Linked DNA regions of Nothobranchius furzeri. The protein of the gene in region 3 purifies or fractionates together with the protein of the main gene of each other region. This does not show direct contact. Links are inferred from orthologs where the notes say so. Each region holds a gene or a part of one and is shown on either strand. Other genes may lie near its edges.

Region 1 (4,362 bases), on a different chromosome or scaffold from region 3:
ACTTTGAGCGAACGTATGCATACTTAGTCCTTGGGCCATCGGTGATGATGTTCCACAAGGACGCGAGTACACAAGTTGGGACAAGTATACATATTGAGAAACAGCCAGTGACTCAATGCAATCTGCTGGGTTCCTTATAGATGAAACGCTTTACTGACTGGCTTAATGAACTGAACTGACTGGAATGTTTACTTTGTGAAGTCCCTTAAGACGACTCTTGTCCTGCTTTGGCGCCATCTAAATAAGCTGAATTGAAATGATTCTGTCATCGCCATCCTTGGCTGGAACTATACAGGTGTTGGTCATTAAATTAGAATATCATGACAAAGTAGATCTATTTCAGTAATTCCAACTTCTTTATTAAGTTCATTCATTCCACATAGACTGATATATTTAGAATGTTTATTCCTATAATTTTGATCATTACAACCAATGAAAATCCCAAATCCAGTATCTCAGATTATTAGAATATTGTGAAAAGGTTCAATATTGAAGACCCCCGGTGCCACACTCTCAGCTAATTAACTGAAAACACCTGCAAAACCCTTTAGATGGTCTCTCAGTCTGCTGAGTTGACAAGATGTCCAAAAGACGACCAATGACATCTCGTACAAGGAGGCCGGATGATGACAGAGCTCTGTGACCAAGCACATTAATACAGATGTGAAGGGAAGGACAAGATGTGGCGTCTCGACTGGGTTAAAGACAACAAAGACTGGACTGCTGCTGGCTGGTCCAAAGTTATGTTCTCTGGTGAAAGTAAATTTTGCATTTCCTTTGGAAATCAAGGTCTCAGAGTCTGGAGGAAGAGAGGAGAGGCCCAGAATCCACGTTGCTTGAGGTCCAGTGTAAAGTTTCCACAGTCCGTAAAGGTTTGGGGTGTCATGTCATCTGCTGCAATCTTATGGGTTGGCTTAATGAACTGACCTGTATTGGAATATTTACTTTGTGAAGTGCCTTGAGACGACTCTTGTCCTGATTTGGTGCTATATACATAAACTGAGTGAAATCTGTGTTGGTCAATTGTGTTTTCTGAGGTCAAAGGTCAACGCAGCCATCTATCAGGAAGTTTTAGAGCAGCTCACCTGACCTTAACCAAACAGAAAATCTATGGGGTAACGTGAAGAGGAAGGTGCAGTACGCCAGACCCAACAATTCAGAAGAGCTGAAGGCCACCATCAGAGCAACACGGGCTCTTACAACACCTGAGGGGGGCTCAGATGCAACCTAGCATGTAAATTAGCAGAATTCCACATTAGAGGAGAGCTTAACAGGATTTGGAGTCTTATTTCCTGATATTTGGACATCTCTCCTCTGATTGGCTAACAGCAACACCACTCCACCACTCAATCTGTTTGCTTTGCAACGTTGATGTTTTATCTCCACAAATAACTGAAGCCTGGAGGAGCTCTGATTCTCTGCTGTTTCCTGGACGCTAAATCAACAACAGCCTTCCCTGTCGTGAGTCAAGGTGAGTCCATGAATGCTCAGTGACAATGTGATGTAGATTTGTCAGGATTTTCTAATCCTAGAGTTTCACCGTCTACTTTCTATCAGAAGCTACTGCAGGAGGTAGGTAGGAGACTATTTTCATGTTCAGCCTGCATGAAAAACTCAGTGTGACTGATTATAATCAGAAATAATCATTAAAACTTGTTCTTCAGTGTTCCACACCTTTAAACAAAATGTCTATTTAATGTTTTTATATTATTTTGCTAATGTAAATCACACTGTTTTGTGTTCATTTGAAAGTCAAAAGCAAAATACTACTTTGATAAACTGCACAGCCCTGCTGCCTTCATTACTTTCTTCTGTGTAAAAGTCATTTATTACGAAGATGTTGTACTTTGTTTCCTAAACCTAATGTAGGCTTTTGTCAATTAGGTTTTTAAACATTTACATATTTGTACTTACTCCAGAAGAAGAAAACAACGGTCGAGCTCCAATGGCAGTGCCTGGGAACTTTCCACCTATCTGGAGAGATAAACACACAACATCATCCATGAGTGTGGGTAAACAAGTGTACACATACAAGTCATTCTAAACAATCCTCAATTCTCATTTAACCATTAGGTTCAGACATATCAGACCACTGGAAACATCTGATATTATAGCTGTACCTGCTGAAAAAACGCACAAATCTGGCTTTGTTGAAGTTTCACAAATCAGGGAAAGGTTTTACAAATCCCAAACAAAATTTTATGCAATCTGCTATTATAGTGGAATAATCTAGAACAGGTTTGAACAGTGTGGGTGTTGTAAGGTTTTGAGCTAGAGCAGATTAAAGATGGTCAGAGTAGAGAAAAATTGGGTGTAATGGCCCTTTAGCCGTCTCCCGAATCAGAAGCTGGAAACGGAAGCTAACTTCAGCAAGTCCAAAAGGGGTTCTCTAGTGACGAACACAAAAACAATACAAACGTTTCTTACCGGAGGTCTTCTTCCGTAAGTTGTTCTAACTGCTTGCTGGAAGCCCACGTCATTTTCAAACTACAGGTTTAAGAAAATGTATCATCACATTTATGTCCAAATGATCCAAAACAAACCACCGTGGTTCGTGCTAATAAAGCCTACAGTATAAGGCTAAACTAACTTCAGCCTCGAGCCTAGAGTACCAGCAGCTAATAGCAGGGAGTTAGCGGGTCACGCACCTCCGAGTAAAACGCCGGGTTGAAGTCGTTGTAACCAGAATAAAGGTCATCTTCCTCTGCAGCCTGGTGCACGTTTTCCATACTCTTCTGCTTAAAGAACGTGTGCAGAAATAAATCAGACGTTGGAGCTAGAAAGATGTTTGTTGTCGTTTCAGTTACATTACCCACAATCCAAAGCGATATAGGCGGGCTTAATCCCTTTTGGAGCTTCTGATTGGTGGTCTCACTGTCACTCTTAGTCAAACATGTACATGATTGGCTGAAGACGGTTCCGTCCGTTGCTATGATACAAGAGAAGTACACAGTTCTCTTCTCTCAAAGACGGAAACACATGTCCACTGGTATTATGAATATCCATTATTATTTGTTTGTTTTACCAAACAAGTAATACTCTTTAATGGCCCCAGTTTAATTTGTCCTTCTGGACTACCATTCATATATATATATATATATATATATATATATATATATATATATATATATATATATATATATATATATATATATATATATATATATATATATATACATACACACACACACACACACACACACACATATAAATAATCCATGGAGTAAGGATGCACAAGTTTTAAGGACATATGATCCACATTCCTCCCTAGTAATTAAATCCCCGAAATAAAGAGGAAAGTAGTTCATTTTTGGTGTTTCGGAAGGATTTTCTCCGGTAAGTTGATGAAATGTCATCATTTTGTTGCATTGTGAAGCGTTAGCTAACCGCTTCGTACCAAAATAAGCCAACGATGATATTTTATGTTGCCAGTTTTAGCTAGATCGCCTTTAATGAGCTAACTGTGTGCAGCTTGTTGGTTGTGAGCAGGAGGACGAGCTGTAGACGGGTTTCTTTCAGTTTGTTTGATTCTACGTTTTAAAAATATTCCCCACAGTTTCAAATAGGTGATAAACTTTTTACATTATTAGTTTTATTTGGGAATATTTGTACAATACGTTGCTGGTTGCTGTATCAACACGAACATGCATCAGAAACGGAAGCACAAATGGAGAGACCAATAATAAAGAAAACGTGATTGTGAAGACGAGTAATTATTTAATATTTTTCAGTTAATAACACTGACTGCAGCAAACTGCTGAAGCATGAGACAAACAGGAGTACGAACGTAAGAAGATATGTTGTTCTGTTTTGTGTACTCAAGTAATAAGAATAGAATTAAGATAATTCAAGAACAGTAGTCGAACAATAACTTTTAAAAATTAGACATTTTGCATAAAAATGCTAATTTCCACTTGCTTTATAAGATCAGCATTTGCTATTTTGTTATTAAGTAAGGAATGACAAGAAATAAGAATTAACAATAACACAACTATCAATAAAAAGAGTAACTAAAACAAAAATCTTATGTAACCATTAAAGGTTAAACTGTATTGTGTACATTTTCATGTTTTCATAGTGGCTGAGCGGAGAGCTGACCAGAAACAACGGTGGTGGCAAAACCCAGTTGGGTCTGTGATGGAGTGATGCACGCCTGGAGTGATTGCTATCTCATCTAGAGCCCTGCACTGAAGCCCTAGGCCCTCAGGTCGGGTTGGCCCGATGGCCCTCGGGCCGGGCTTCGGGCCAACGACTGTGTAATTACCTCGGACACGGGCCGGGCGCCTTTATTTTTAATCGAATTCATTACAAAAATTGAAACACTTAAACCAGGGGTCGGCGACCTGTTCCCATCAAAGAGCC
Region 2 (3,923 bases), on a different chromosome or scaffold from region 3:
AATGAGAGCTGAAAGGTTTTTATTTCTCTTTTTGTATTGGAACTTTTCACAATACCTCTTAAATCACAAACCTCTCCCACAGGACTGCTGAGTTAAATCTGTTAATAGATGGGAGCAAGGGTTAATTTTTGTTTTGGAAATGTGGGGTGGTCCAACATTATTGTTTTCTGAGTGTTTTTCCAGCAGTGTTTTGTCTTATGTGAGGTGCAGGGTGAGTCAGAGGAAAGTGAGTAATGATTCAGTCATCCATGTAAATGTGAAGCTGCACATGAGCTTCTCTACAACGTGTAACATGCTTTATTTAGCTTTGTTCAAGTGCCTTTTGCTTATTTCCAACTTGTGCAGACACAGAAATGTAAAACTTGTAACTTTTTTTTTTGCGTGGACATTTTAGACATTTCTTTATGGTTCTAAAGAATGCATTATATTATAGGTGAGTGTTTGTTGTTTAATGAACTGATTTATTTTGTTTTCCATTAAGGTAATGGCACACATGTATTCCTGCTTTGGTAGGAATAAAGGTATAAAGTAGGTAGGTATAAAGTAAATGAACCTTTAATAAAACACTAGGGACAAGTTATTAACAGAAAATAACTTGATGAGTTACATAAGCCAATGAACTGTGCAGTCAGTCGGGTAGATATGTACAGATTTCACTGCTGAGTAATAATTGACATTTCCTCTCGCTCTTGACTCTCCAACATCCCATTTACAACATTTCCCACATATCTGAAGAAAGCATGTCTAACATCCTCTGGGTCCTCTTCCAGGTTGGAGTGAATAAGCTGCAGTCTGCTCAGATTTGGTGCTGCATCAAAAGAGTAAAGATGTTAGCTCGGAAAACAAAACAAAAAACTGATGCAACACTTTTAGGAGATTACCTAAAGTCAACTGCCCATCTTTTACCTCACTGCCAGGCTTGTGATGAGCTATGAGTAGACACTGGTTGTCCTGCAAACCTTGGGATGCAATGAACATGGAGTACCAGGTCTCAATTTCTTTCAGGTGACTTGGAACAGCAGGATTAAAAATGGTCACCACACCATTACAGTCTTCCATGAGAGCAGGCCAGCATAATTCAAACCTGCAGAAAAGGGTTGGCATCAAAAAGCAGCTTTCATTTAGAAAGAAAAGGCATTTTCTTAGTGAATATGACTTACTTAAAATCTCCTGAACAATCCCAAAGTTCCACCTCACAGGTCTTGTCACCACTGCCTTTAAGCTGGGATTTGAATTCCAGTATCCTTGAGCAAGTAGAAAGTGAATGTGATCATTTTAGTATAATATGTATATGAGGTAATAACATTGAATGAAAGGTAATGAAAGGAAAACAGCCTGTACCTGACTCCTTTAGTAGGTCGGTACTGTCCGCCCACGTTTTCTGTCATGTCTGAGAGAAAATTGGCAAGAACAGTTTTCCCACTCTGAAAAAAGGAATAGATCACTTTAAAGATATGTTTAGTTCTCACATTTTACAATATAAGCATGTTTATGAACTGACCAGTGGTGCTGAAAAGCATCTGAGTTTTATTTGTACTACATGTCCGGTGTGACATGAAAATGGAAATAGCTGAGGTACAATTAAAGTGTGCTCGAGTAACCAAATAAAATGTATTTAGTTGAATTCAAAAACATCCAATCTTTTTGTCTTTTCACAAATTACTTTTTACACATTAAAAACTTTCAAAAGGTCTTTATTCGTAAAATAGCATAGTTTTGATTTCATTAACCTAAGCATTGCGTTTTTCTTTTAAATGCTTCCATACACCGTCATAACAAGGTTATTAGACTGTCATAAATATATGAATTCGATATTAGCTGAAGTGCTACTGAGATAAACATAAAATAGTTTACACTAGAACTGGGGTAAAGGTGCTGGAAGGCTGGTATTATGCATGTTTTAGTTGTTTGCCTGTTTCAACACACCTGATTTCAACGAGTAGGTGATTCTGCAGAGCATGATGAGCTGTTGAACAGATAATTGAATCAGGTGTGTTGAAGCAGGGAATCAACTCAAACGTGTTGGACATCTCGAGGACCGAGATCACTAAAGAAGTTAACAATACATGCTCATCTATATACGTTTTACGTTCATTTACTTACCTCGGTAGGTCCAACAAAGAGTATTTTTACTTTGAACATTTCCGAAGCCGAGCATTAGCTATCACGCTAGCTTTAAGAACCCTAAGAAAATCAACGTTTCAGCGTGAATATAAATTGCTAAGTACGTCTTTAAAGAAACATGTGTGTGGTATTTTAAGTTAAAAGAATAAAAGTATACTAAACTAGCTTATTTACGTTTATGTTCTCCGACTACAAGACTTCCTTGTCGTTTCTATGGTTTCAACCAAGCTCCCCTTCTTTCTTCGTCCATTGGCTGTTTGAAATTAAAATCAAACGTAGTCCCGCCCCTCTTTGCCTCGAGGAGCCAATAAGTGATGGGAAAAACATGTAGCGTCATTACGTTACTTCGAAGATGGCCAATCGCGCTTGAGCGTCCCTGCTGCCTCCCCAGTTGAAGTGGTATTATTTACAACAGAAACAAAGCGAAAGTGTGAGTAATATTAGAATTTTCTAGAATATACGATTTAAAGTTGAAATGTACTAAGTTTAATTACATTAGTCACCACGTGGTTGTTAGTGACTTAGCTTATTCGGCAAATTAACACGCGTTAAACGACGGCTTAGTCAAACCTGTCCGTTGCTATGGAGTACAGCATGTTAGCTTGGGTGTCCGCTGGCTTCCTGGTTCAAGTCAAATTGGCTGTAAAGTGTAATAAAACGATCTTATAAGCATATGAGATAGAATTTCCATCAGGATATTTAGTGATTTAACACTTTGTTTTATTTTGTTTATTATGTTATGTTTTTGTTAGTGGGGGGTATGTCTCCAGAGGATGGTGATCCCCAGAGTTCCCCTTTTCCTGGATTCAGTTCCACCAGTGATGATCTCACTCTGAGGCGTGGTGACCTAGACAACAGTCATGAGCCACAAAAAGGAAACAGGTCACAGAGAAAACACACATGTTTATAAACATGTGCTCTGGAGCTAAAAGGCTTACAACATTTTCTCACATCCCTATTTTTCATTTAGCTTTGAAGAGAAGCACACCTTTCTGAAACTACTGATTGATGCAGAAGCTGCTGCCAACTCTGCAGGAATACAACTTGCTTCATTCAAAAATGCAATAGAAGATGAATTTACTGTATGATTAAGAGCAATTTTTACCTTCTTCTGTTTGGTTTGAGCATTTACCGTGTCTGTAAATAATCACATCTTCTTTCAATTCAGGATTTGGGACCGTCTTCCAAAGACAAGCGTGGAATCACAAGGCAGAGAGGACTTTTGCTGGAGAAGTTGGAGAATTTTAGACGAATAAATAAATCTGTGCGACAGGAGTTAAAACTACACCAAAATGCAGAGGTGGATTTTTAAATGTTGAATTTATGCAAAAAAAAATGACTTAAAATTTTTCTCTAAATATAAATTGTAATAAGTTTGACTTTACCTGCTTTAATAATGAATTCCTTATACAGGTTAATCGAATTACTGAAAAGAAACGGACAGACCTCTTATTAAAGAAGATAACACAAGCTGAAAGTGAAAATGAGGTGAATGTTTTATTATATCATATTCTATGATGGGAGAAGATATAATTAGTCAGGAGTTGAGTCAAACATGGATTGTGATGCTTGAATTATACCTTATTGCTCATGTTTTCTTTCGTGAGCGCTTACAAATCATTCTGAACAAGACTGAGCGGAGGATCGAGGAGCTAATGAATACAAGGAGAGACCAGCAGGTAAGCACATAAAACACTAGGTAATCAATAAAATATTGAAATTAATTTTATTAGAAAGCATTTGTTTTGCTCCCTCAGAAGAACATTAAAAGTGGAGTTCATAAGACCAAGTCGGCAGAA
Region 3 (4,496 bases):
TTAATGCAAAAAAATCTCATTGTTGCTTTTTTTTTTATTATTAAAAACTGATTTAAAAGCCCTCGTATCTTAGAGATGTGATTGGAAAAGCACAGTTTTTTTTTCAACTAAAACTAATAAACTTGTTTAAAATGTGAACTTGGCTCATGAGTGTCAGTTTATAATAATATGATTATACCGTTCTAAACCTCTAAACTAAGTCAGGTGGACAAAAATATGCTTTAAAGATAAACGAGAGGCAGTGAATAAGATTTTCTTAATGGGGACACACTGTAACCCCGAATAAGTTCACTGAACTCAAAATTTATGAGGAAACTGATTACCTAATAATTTTTAAGTTAACTTATCTAAAAACTATAAGTTTACCATAACTTAAAAAATATGACCTGAATAAAATCAAAGCATTTAACTACCTCCAGCTTATAACTTGGTACTTAAGCAACTTATAAAGTTTAATTTAACTAAACTTGCATATTTTATTTTATTTGAACTTTATTACATGTTTTTACTAACTTAAATATTATAACTTATATGAACTCTAAATGGACCTAATAAACCCTAACCCAAATGAGTTGAATTTACTTAGAAATGACAATGTGGCAGGCTGGTGAAGGCAGTAACTAGCACCAGATCATTACTCACACACCCATAAATGCTAACAGCCAATGAAAGTGGAACACTCAAAGTCAAGTCAAGAGCATCTGGTGTGAATAACCACAGTATTATTAACAATGGGACAGCACAGCCATACAGCATTACTTTGACCAACCTCCTCACTTATGGTGCCAACATGATACAAAAAGTAACACCACATCTGCAACACTGAATGAAATAATAACTGAGAACAACAATCCTCCAAAACAGACATGCATAAACACCCCAAAATAGAGCTAAATAACTGAAAACATAACTACCCACAATGCACCTCCCCCACCAGTTGTTTATTGTTCCTGAAATCCAACAAAATTGCTAGTTTGTGGTTGTTTTTCTTGTAAATCCACAAATATTTAAAATAAAACAATATACAAGTCTGTTTATCAGACGCACTTTAGGGTTGATGTAAAGATGAATGGAATATAGAAACATAAAATAATAAATCAATCATTTTTTTGGTTAACTTTACTCATTAAAGTTAAGTTGTCTCTTATTGATTAACCCTTTGATGCATGAATTATGAAATCTTCAACCATGATTTTTTTTACAATTTTTTTCATTCGTCTTTAGGTGCGAATGAAACAAATTTCAACTAATATTTTTCGTAAAATTTTATAATTTACAAATTATTTATTACATGTCCACCTCAGTGGACAGTGTGCATTCTGAGCATGAAATATGTTGGCCTGGCTTACTGAAGTACAAATGGAGGTGCTCACATGCAATAAAGTCTTCAACAGCTGTGCTTAATAGCAAAAACAAACAAATAACTATTTTGAGTACCTGTCCACTGTAGTGACCATTATGCATCAAAGGGTTAATTTAAGTTATGTTTACTTAAAAAAGAAATGACTGTTTTTCTTAAAGGGTCACAATTTGGGAATGACATCCTGTGGTCAAATTTGGGTACTGCAGTCTGTATAAACAGAGTCTGCTCTGTTTAGCTGTCGCCAGTGACGGATCAGCCCCAGAAGATTCTTGATGACAAGTAAAGACTAGCCATACACAGTTAACTGATAAGTAAATAAATACATTTCACTGTAATATCAAGTTGTTGGTATTCAAAAACGTGGCTTGAGATATTTTTAGAGTTGACTATTTTTTTTATTCATTGTTGGCCCAACATTAGCCTCTTGCCTTTTATTTTATTTATTTTTACCTGATTTCAGAATAAAACAAAAGCATGTTGTGGCTTCATACCCCATCTTTCCACTGGATGCGTAAGCTAGTGTGTACTGTAATAGGTGTGTTTTAATGTAATAGGCGTGTTTTACCCGCAAGCTCCCTTCCCACCAGGTGCATTTCCGATGTGAAACAGTAGCAAAAGCATTCCAAGCAGCTGTTCCCGCAAGGTAAAAAAAAAAATCACCAAAGAACTGCAGGGTCACGCATGATTTCAGCAGTACACGCGACAAAACGCAAAGGAAAAGACGGCAGTGTTTAACCAAAATGTCTGTGGTTTCTTTTCTGATCAATTTACTTCTTCCACTGAGGCTTCACAGATAGTGACAAACTTTTCTACTAGTTAGGCTACTGAGTATCTGCAAGTAATCTTTATTTAGAAAAATTCTGAACACTGTTTTGTGTTTGACTCCCTGTCTGGCCCGATCTGAACATCTGAACTTGTGTGTCCTTGTGGAAGAAGTTTGGAGTGATTAGAGGCAGTAGAGACACACATGGCAGCACAAAAGGATGCAAAAGGAAATTTTGCATAATGTGTCCCCTTTAAATATCAGCACAGCTGCTGGGAATAATAAACATCTGATTACAGGTCTGTGCAAATACACTTATGTAGCCTATATTGTGTTAGAGATGTATAAAGTATGTCTCTAATTAGTTTTGTGAGACAAGTGGGTGGAAAATCTAAAAGGTAGTTTCGAACAAAATATTTGCAACTAGTAGCATTGCTTCAGGGTGTTGCTATGCTCATCACAGAGCCTGGACAGTGTGTACTATTTATTGTCACTACGGTCTTCGTACCATTGTAGCTCTCCACTGTCACCGCAGCAACCCTCGTGGGCTCAGGAAAACGAATGACGAACTCTTGAGGAAACATCCCAGTGGACGTCCAAAATGTTTTTGTATTCCTAGATGTGGACAAAAAATACGTTAATAAAATTAATCAGATACGATGCTATTTAGAATATAGACGACAAACAGTGTTGCAAAGCGCAGCAAGTACCCGTCCATAATGTTTTCTGGTGGGTGATTCTCATCGCAGGAAGAAGCGAAAACGACTTTTACACCCAAAGAGTTGAAAGATGAATCGCTCATAACGATCTGGTCCCGCGGTGGAAACGCCTAAACGTGCGTATCAGCAGGTTTAATGATAAAAACTCATCAAAAGCTGGGTTTAGCTGCTGTTTTATTGTGGCGTGTGAAGCTGTAGATGTTGCCAGGCCAACAGCGTTGTCGCATGATATATACGTCACTTCAAGTCACTCGCTTCCGACGCACATTGTTGGGTCCAGAAATTGACAACGATTGGCACACATTTCAGTGTTCCTACATGGCGAATGGATGTAGAGACGTGTTATTTACCCGTGGAACTGGGCAGGTGTGTTTAAAACATTTATTAGTCGAACTGGATAAAGTATACGAACTATTTTTTTATTTCCTGTAGATCTATTTAAAACGAGAAGCTAGGAAGCTAAGCTACAAACCACCGGTAAGTTTAGCTAGTTGGACAACAAAGATAAACAGGGTCACAAAACAGCAATAGCTGTTGTTGGGTTTTATTAGTCGAGGTGGAGGATATAAATCACACAAAATTCACTCAAGCTGCATCAGAACTTCGTATTTTGAGTGAAGTGCTTTAGAAGTAGAGCTTGTAAACAGCACTGGTCTGTGACAGGAACAGAGGTACCACCTAAATATTTGGATAAGCATGCACCAAAGTAAGGCAGACCCTCTAAATGCATTTCCTTCTTTTTCAGAGTGATGATTCGGATATTTGGGATGATACCGCACTGATAAAAGCCTACGACAAGGCAGTTGCATCATTCAAGGTAAACTGGGTGCTTTTAGGTGTGCCTGCATGCACAGTCTTCTGTTTGTTTTGTTAGAATGATGCCCATTATGTGTGCCAGACTGCCCTGAAGGGTGAAGATGAACCTCAAGCTCCTAAGAAAAACCTACCAGGAAAAAAACGGAAGAACAACAAAAAGAACCAGAATGGGAAAAGAAACAATGTAGCCCCAGAGAAAGAGGTAATGAACTTTTTGTAATGTTGCAGCCTTAAAAATGTCTAATATTTGAGTTTAAAAATACATTTTTGCATGCTTTGTTATCTGTTCTTTAAGTCATCTTCCTTGCATAATCCAAAAGCTTTAAAATAAACACTTTTTAAAAAAGATTTAGCTTTTTTTTTTTTGCTTGGCACCCTATAAGCTACATTTAGTTATAATCATTACAATACAGCTGCATGAAAACACAATCGCTAATTATTTTTATTCACTTTAAATTTTAATTTCAAAGCAGAAAAAAAATCAAATGTTATTATCTCATGACAAAACTGTGGCTTAAAGATGATAACACTTTTGAATGACTAAGAACTGAACTGACAGATTTCAGTTGATGCATATATAAATACCGTAATTTCCGGACTATAGAGCGCACTTCAATATAAGCCGCACCGGGCTAAAAGCCGCAGAATCTACTGAATTGAAAACGTAGTTTAACTGAACGTAACTGAACTGATCAGTATCAAACAAAACAGAAAAGTTATTGATTAGTTTATTCATCGTCCTCCTGCGCACTGAAACCACTGAAGTTATCTTCTTCAGTGTCGGAGATGAACAGCCTCAGAAGAGCTTTGTTACATACCTTTTCTGTGGTGATGT

Evidence for each region. Proteins that work in one complex are often made in the same cells at the same time.
Region 1: the proteins of hspb11 (region 3) and ift88 purify together in Homo sapiens (affinity purification with mass spectrometry; 3 studies listed by BioGRID and IntAct, with this or other methods). This does not show direct contact. The link is inferred for Nothobranchius furzeri from reciprocal best matches to the Homo sapiens genes IFT25 and IFT88.
Region 2: the proteins of hspb11 (region 3) and ift22 purify together in Homo sapiens (affinity purification with mass spectrometry; 3 studies listed by BioGRID and IntAct, with this or other methods). This does not show direct contact. The link is inferred for Nothobranchius furzeri from reciprocal best matches to the Homo sapiens genes IFT25 and IFT22.

The regions. Positions count from the first base shown.
Region 1 is NC_091742.1:29,198,566-29,202,927, reverse strand, and holds the start of ift88 (intraflagellar transport protein 88 homolog), read right to left. Parts: upstream 2,840-4,362; 5' UTR 2,730-2,839; coding exon 2,649-2,729; intron 2,488-2,648; coding exon 2,428-2,487; intron 2,009-2,427; exon of another isoform or gene 1,975-2,008; coding exon 1,915-1,974; intron 1,472-1,914; exon of another isoform or gene 1,345-1,471; intron 1-1,344. UniProt on the Homo sapiens protein: Positively regulates primary cilium biogenesis. Also involved in autophagy since it is required for trafficking of ATG16L and the expansion of the autophagic compartment.
Region 2 is NC_091751.1:48,583,745-48,587,667, forward strand, and holds ift22 (intraflagellar transport protein 22 homolog), read right to left. Parts: upstream 2,388-3,923; 5' UTR 2,299-2,387; intron 2,185-2,298; 5' UTR 2,143-2,184; coding exon 2,104-2,142; intron 1,425-2,103; coding exon 1,342-1,424; intron 1,245-1,341; coding exon 1,161-1,244; intron 1,085-1,160; coding exon 882-1,084; intron 809-881; coding exon 654-808; 3' UTR 540-653; downstream 1-539. Other genes in the region: outer dense fiber protein 2, read left to right, coding at 2,885-3,006, 3,095-3,206, 3,293-3,424, 3,538-3,612, 3,732-3,803, 3,882-3,923. UniProt on the Homo sapiens protein: Small GTPase-like component of the intraflagellar transport (IFT) complex B.
Region 3 is NC_091757.1:41,300,439-41,304,934, forward strand, and holds the start of hspb11 (intraflagellar transport protein 25 homolog), read right to left. Parts: upstream 3,058-4,496; 5' UTR 2,929-3,057; coding exon 2,837-2,928; intron 2,742-2,836; coding exon 2,635-2,741; intron 1-2,634. Other genes in the region: smn1 (survival motor neuron protein 1), read left to right, coding at 3,071-3,211, 3,591-3,662, 3,744-3,863. UniProt on the Homo sapiens protein: Component of the IFT complex B required for sonic hedgehog/SHH signaling.